Macaca fascicularis: one gene and its partner. The protein of the gene in region 1 purifies or fractionates together with the protein of each later gene. This does not show direct contact. Links are inferred from orthologs where the notes say so. Each region holds a gene or a part of one and is shown on either strand. Other genes may lie near its edges.

Region 1 (3,500 bases):
ACCCTGTCTCTACAAAAATTACAAAAAGTAGCTGGGTGTGGTGATGTGCTCCTGTTGTCTCAGCTACTTGGGAGGCTGAGGCAGGAGAATCACTTCAGCCTGGGAGTCGGAGGTTTCAGTGAGTCGAGATTGCGTCATTGCACTCTAGCCTGGGTGACAAGAGTGAAACCCTGTCTCAAAAAAAAAAAAAAAAAATTTAGCTGAGTGTGGTAGCATATATTTGTGGTCCCAGCTAAAGCTGGAGAGGCTGAGGTGGGAAGATCACCTGAGCCCAGGAGGCCAAGGCTACAGTGAGTAAGCCATGATTGTACCAGAGTGTACTCTAGCCTAGGCAACAGGATGAGACCGCTTTTTTTTTTTGGACAGAGTATCACTCTTGTTGCCCAGGCTGTAGTGCAATGGCACAATTTTGGCTCACTGTGACCTCCACCTCCCGGGTTCAAGCAGTTCTCCTGCCTCAGCCTCCTGAGTAGCTGGGACTACAGGTGCCTGCCACCATGCCCGGCTAATTTTTTGTATTTTTAGTAGAGACGGGGTTTCACCATGTTGGCCAGGTTGGTTTTGAACTCCTGACCTCGTGATCTGCCCGCCTTGGCCTCCCAAAATGCTGGGATTACAGCCGTGAGCCACGGTGCCCAGCCTGAGACCCTGTCTTTAAAAAAACAAAACAAAACAAAAAAAAAAAACGCTGTAAATCTTGAGAGTGGAGTGGAAATGAGATGAGGGGGGACATTTGGTCCGAATGGCTTAGGTTATGATGTTATATCTAATTATTTTTTGTGGGACAGAGTTTTGCTCTTGTTGCCCAGGCTGGAGTGCAATGCGTGATCTTGGCTCACTGCGACCTCTGCCTCCCGGGTTCAGGTGATTCTCCTGCCTCAGCCTCCCAAGCAGTTGGGATTACAGACAGGTGCCACTACGCCTAGCTAATTTTTTTGTTTTTTGTCTAATTAGTAGAGACGGGTTTCACCATGTTGGCCAGGCTGGTCTCAAACTCCTGACCTGGTGATCTGCCTGCCTTGGCCTCCCAAAGTACTGGGATTACAGGCGTAAGCCACTGCGCCTGTCTCATGTCTAATTATTCTTTTTTATTTATTTATTTTTTTTTTTTTGAGACGGAGTCTCGCTCTGTCGCCCAGGCTGGAGTGCAGTGGCCGGATCTCAGCTCACTGCAACCTCCGCCTCCTGGGTTTACGCCATTCTCCTGCCTCAGCCTCCCGAGTAGCTGGGACTACAGGTGCCCGCCACCTCACCCGGCTAGTTTTCTGTATTTTTTTTTTTTTTTTTTTAGTAGAGACGGGGTTTCACCGTGTTAGCCAGGATGGTCTCGATCTCCCGACCTCGTGATCCGCCCGTCTCGGCCTCCCAAAGTGCTGGGATTACAGGCTTGAGCCACCGTGCCCGGCCGTCTAATTATTCTTACCCCAAATGAAGATCTCTTTTGGAGGTGAGCTCCTTTTTTTTTTTTTTTTTTTTTTTTAGATGAAGTCTTGCTCTTGTTCCCCCAGGCTGGAGTGCGATGGCGCGATCTCAGCTCACTGCAACCTCTGCCTCCGGGGTTCAAGTGATTCTTCTGCCTCAGCCTCCTGAGTAGCTGGGATTACAGGCGCGTACCACCACACCTGGCTAATTTTTGTATTTTTAGTAGAGACAGGGTTTCACCATGTTGGCCAGGCTGGTCTTACACTCCTGACCTCAGGTGATCTGCCCGCCTTGGCCTCCCAAAGTGCTGGGATTATAGGCATGAGTCACCACGCCCAGCTGTGAGCTCCTTATTAAGTACCTATTTGGTATCTTTAAACCATAGTTTCTCTGTAACCTTTTTCTGGATTCTCTAAACTAAGGTCCAAGTGAAAATCTTATTCTTTATTCTCTGTGGTCTTTTCTGGTTTTTTTCTCAGCATGTTTGTTGATAATTTTGTGATGTGACCTGCTCTGTCTACCTGTCCCATTTATCACACATGATCTTTTTTCTCACGTGCTTTGATTATTGAGGGGTCAAGTGAAGACCCAGAGTCTATCAGCCACATTGGGCTTCTCTCCCCTAGTCACTTCGCTATCCAAGCCCTGTGTCCTCTTCATTCTCCCTTCTAGTCAAGAACCCTATTGAGGCAAGTGTCTTGCTGGCTGAAGCCTCGCTGGCACGGAAGCAGCGGAAAACACATACTACCTTTATTCCACTGATGCTGAATGAGATGCCACAGATTGGGGACCTGGTGGGTCTGGATGCTGAGTTTGTCACCCTTAATGAGGTAACCAAGACCAAAGGGATGGGGCATTGGAAGAGAACTCTGAGGATATTAGGAGTTGTAAGCATTTCTCTGATTTCCTTATTAACTCTTCTCATGTAGGAGGAAGCAGAGTTACGCAGTGATGGTACCAAGTCTACCATTAAACCAAGTCAGATGTCAGTAGCCAGGATTACCTGTGTCCGGGGCCAGGGACCTAATGAGGGTATCCCCTTCATTGATGACTACATCTCTACCCAGGAGCAGGTATTAAGATACAGAGATGCAAGTGAGGCACACCCTGGTACTTATGTACAGTGCTCAAGAACCCAGGGAAGAGTGATAGGGGAAAACTCCACCTCACTTCCTGAAAAAGACTTGTCCTTTTCTCTATTCCTAGGTGGTGGATTACTTGACTCAATACTCGGGTATAAAGCCTGGTGACCTCGATGCCAAAATTTCCTCCAAGCACCTAACAACTCTCAAGTCTACCTACTTAAAGCTTCGTTTTCTCATTGACATTGGAGTCAAGTTTGTGGGTCATGGCCTGCAGAAGGACTTCCGGGTCATCAACCTGATGGTTTGGCAGGGCTCTTTTAAGAGTCTTCTTGTGAGAGTGGGCCCCTCAGGGTATACACTGTGCCTTCAGAGAATGGGAAATTATAGTCCCCTACCTTAAGTCTCCCCCTCTTTTATCTTTGCCAGGTGCCCAAGGACCAAGTCCTTGATACTGTCTACCTGTTCCACATGCCCCGAAAACGAATGATTTCCCTGCGATTCCTTGCTTGGTACTTTCTGGGTGAGTTGCTCTGCCTTGTAGGCCCCTGTGGTGTACATTAATAGCAGAAGCAGCCATTTAAAAAAAAAGCAATCGTGTCCTTTGCAGCAACATGGATGGAGCTGTGGGCCATCATACTAAGTGAACTAACTCAGAAACAGAAAATCAGATACCACATATTCTCACTTATAAGTTGGAACTAAACAATGAGTACATATGGACATAAGGATGGAAATAATAGACACTGGGGACTCTAAAAGTGGGGTTGGTGGGGGATGGGTGAGGGTTGAAAATTACGTATTGGCTGCATAGTTCACTATTTGCATATTAGGGATACCAGAAGCCCAGTCCTCACCAGTACATGATATACCCATGTAGCAAATATGCACATGTACCCCAAATCTAAAATAAAATTTAAACATAAAAAATAAAAGCATGGGGGGAAAAGACAAAGTAGGAAAAGTGTTAAGAGGACAAAGTGGGAGTAGGGGTGA
Region 2 (3,500 bases), on another chromosome or scaffold:
CCTATTTTTTTGATCTTCTGTTTGGAAAGTGGTTCTGTGATAATGTTTGAAAGATTTCTGATTTTTAAAAAGCCCACAAAACTGTTAGCTATTTTATTATTTTTAAAAAGCAGTTTACATGACTTACAACTATTTCTATAAATGTTTTCACATCTATTTCTCATAGAATAGTTAGGTATTAATATCCTTATTTTACAATTGGAGAAACAGTTTCATAAGTACATAGATTCACGAGTCTAAAAACAATGTGGCGCAAACAAAAAAAAGAAGTATGCTTTCTTTTCACTCAAATTCTCTTAGTAAAATATTAAATTCAATCAAAATAAGTTAACTTTGAGGATCAAAACGGCATATTGAAATCCAAATAATGTTTCATATAAGCCTATCATCTATGACTGTCAAATGTCTATAGATTAGATCAGCTTCCGTTATTTTAATGTAGCAATCCCCAACCTTTTTGGCACCAGGGACTGATTTCGCGGAAGACAATTTTTCCATGGACAAGGGGGTGGGGGTGAAGGGATATTTTTGGCATGATTCAAATGCATTACATTGATTGTGCACTTTATTTCTATTATTATCACATTGTAACATATAATGAAATAATTATACAACTTACCGTAATATAGAATCAATGGGAGCTTGTTTTCCTGCAACTAGGCAGTCCCATCTGGGCGTGATGGGAAACAGTGACAGATCATCAAGGACTAGATTCTCATAAGGAGCACACAACCTAGATCCTTGGCATGCACAGTTTACAACAGGGTTCATGTTCCTATGGAATCTAATGCCGCCACTGATCTGACACAAGGAGGAGCTCAGATGGTAATGAGAGCAATGGGGAGTGGGTGTAAATACAGATGAAACTTCACTTACTTGCCCACTGCTCACCTCCTGCTGTGAGGCCTGGTTCCTAACACTGGTCTATGGTTCAAGGATTAGGGACCCCTGTTTTAGTGGACTCTGGCTTTCTCACTCATGAGGCCTTCATCTACTACTTATTTTTCTAGGGTAAATAAAATAATTTTTGAATACGGACGAAGTAATGAAGCTAAAAAAGGTACAATTTACATAACATGGAATCCTTCCCTCTCCTTCTCCATTCATTCTCGCCCCCTTGACTCCTGTCCCTTCTCCCTGTCCTGGAACATTACTAATTGACTCTGATAAGAAATCTTTCTTTCTGGCCATGTTCTTCCTCTCTTGGTCTTCATATTCATGTCTCCTCTGGGGCCACCTCTTCCCAACTGTTTCATGATTCTTCTCTCACTTCATCACCAGTCCTTTGGTAACTCTTTCCTCATCTATAATCATGGCTCTCTTTGGTCTGACTCTTCTACCTCCTTAGCAAAGGGCCATACTGCAGGCCCCTTATCACTATGTGTCACTCCACCATCCACAGATCTAGCTGTTAAATAACCACCTCATCTGAAATAAGGGTTTATCATTGATTTGCTTCCAGTAACTACTGAGGACATACCATCTACTTTTTCTAGCTTCTTACTAGAGGTTAAACTATCTATACCTAAAAACAAATGTCAGCAGGCATCAACTCCAGCTAGTACAAGGTAAACCCATAAGCAAAACATGCCATAGAGTACTAAAGTAAGAGCATGGATATAATCTAATTTCTGATTAAACCAGATTAGTCTAAAACTAGAGTTATTAGTAAGGCAGAACTAGATAAATTTGAAGAGTTGAGAAGAGACTAGACTTCTCATCTAAGTGAGAAAATGAAATACTTTTTTGCATCACAATAAAAAGCTGCAGGAGGGGGTGGACCACCTCATTACTAAAAGGACCTGTTACAAGAGAGTACTAAAATGTCCTCTTTAATGCAAACATACCATTCCAGTCAAAGGTGCTGGAGTTGTGTCTGTATAGAAGTAAGTCGTTCCACCAACAGTTTCCTTTTGGATCACCTGACCAGAAGATGGAGTCTGAGAAACAGGATTATTAACAGATGTAGAGGCACTAGAAGGCACCATGTAACTTGCTGGATTTGGAGTGTGACTTCTTCTTCTGGGAGCAGGAGAAGTATGTGGAGTAATCTTGGGGGAATGAAGAGGGGAAGACCCAGCAGACAACGACATTCCTGAAGAAGATGTAAAAATGTTTCTTAATGGAGCAATAAATGGTTTTAGAGAAAAAGTCTGGAAAATAAAATGCAAACATTCATTTGGAAGAAACATCATCTTTGGGATCTTAAGTGCACAAAGATGAAGGAAATAATTTTATCTTGTTTTGTTGTAGAAAAAGCTCTGACTAAAGCAAATGTAAAGTTTCTTTTTTCAAATGTAGTTATTCCCAAATATGTTAGCAGATTTATTGAAAGAACAGTCTCCTCCATATCAAGGTTTACATCACAAACTTTAATAGCAAGAATGACCAAAAATTTAATAAATTAATGGAAGGGTGGGAAGTAACCGAATTGGGGCTCTTTATAAAATTAAGCCTTTTATAAAAGAAAAACTTTTATAAAAGGCATAATTCCTTTTTTATTAAGAATCATTAACAATACAAATAGCACATTCCCCAAACATATTACAGTATTAAAAATTCAAATTATCTATGAAGAGCTACTAGATTTCATTCAGCCAAATATAATTAACAAAATTGTTTGAAAAAGCAAAAAAAAAAAAAAAAAGTTGAAATACATAGCAGCTTAAGTGCCATATGTTTAATATCAAGCAGTCTGTTGTTCTGATGCCTTTTTGTCATTAACTCTAAACAGGCATATCCTGAAAATTTCTACAGATGCGTACTATTTAAAATTAGGCCAATTGATACCATTATGTTCTAGAGGAACCACCACAACCAATAAGAAACATTATGTGCAGAGCACCCTCTATCATTGGAGAAAGGGAAAGGACAATTGTCTTTACCCTTCAGGAGATTCCAAGCTAGCTGAGAAAAAAAGACCAGGTCACATGTAAAAGACATAAAATAACTTAAAAAAATATATATACACTAATGCACTACAACTACATGCATAAATGCTGATGAAATGCAAATTAATTAAAACCAGGTAGAGTTAATCAAAGGCTTAATGGAGTGATCAGTTCTGAGCAGATTAAAAAGGGTATTTAGAGCAACAGTTACTCTTCCTGAAAAAAAAAGAGCTTATCCAGGAACTGTTTTCTGGCTATTTGGTGAATGCCTAAAAACCTTCAACACTGAGGTAATATGCCACCTCACAATACAAGAAAAGGGTTACCAAAAAATGCCTCTAGTCACAAAATTATGATTACCAGGGATATGAGTTTCAATGTCTAATAATTCATAAGATACCAACATGTTTTCTGAAAACATGTAGGTGAACAAAAATAAGCAGAGAACTGAAGTAATACTTTTCTTTTCTCTGAATAGCCCTCTGTACTTTCTGAAGAGCCTCAACATAATTATTTCTGGTTTTCTGAGCAACTAAATAGGCAGGTGAGGTAAGTCGGGCTATAAACACCACAGGACATACATGCAAAGTCAACAGCAAAGCCAACACT

Evidence for each region. Proteins that work in one complex are often made in the same cells at the same time.
Region 2: the proteins of PAN2 (region 1) and PAN3 purify together in Homo sapiens (co-immunoprecipitation; 5 studies listed by BioGRID and IntAct, with this or other methods). This does not show direct contact. The link is inferred for Macaca fascicularis from reciprocal best matches to the Homo sapiens genes PAN2 and PAN3.

What each region holds. Positions count from the first base shown.
Region 1 is NC_088385.1:63,121,301-63,124,800, reverse strand, and holds part of PAN2 (PAN2-PAN3 deadenylation complex catalytic subunit PAN2), read left to right. Parts: intron 1-2,094; coding exon 2,095-2,252; intron 2,253-2,351; coding exon 2,352-2,495; intron 2,496-2,628; coding exon 2,629-2,838; intron 2,839-2,933; coding exon 2,934-3,027; intron 3,028-3,500. UniProt on the Homo sapiens protein: Catalytic subunit of the poly(A)-nuclease (PAN) deadenylation complex, one of two cytoplasmic mRNA deadenylases involved in general and miRNA-mediated mRNA turnover.
Region 2 is NC_088391.1:8,180,425-8,183,924, reverse strand, and holds part of PAN3 (PAN2-PAN3 deadenylation complex subunit PAN3), read right to left. Parts: intron 2,096-3,500; coding exon 1,848-2,095; intron 1-1,847. UniProt on the Homo sapiens protein: Regulatory subunit of the poly(A)-nuclease (PAN) deadenylation complex, one of two cytoplasmic mRNA deadenylases involved in general and miRNA-mediated mRNA turnover.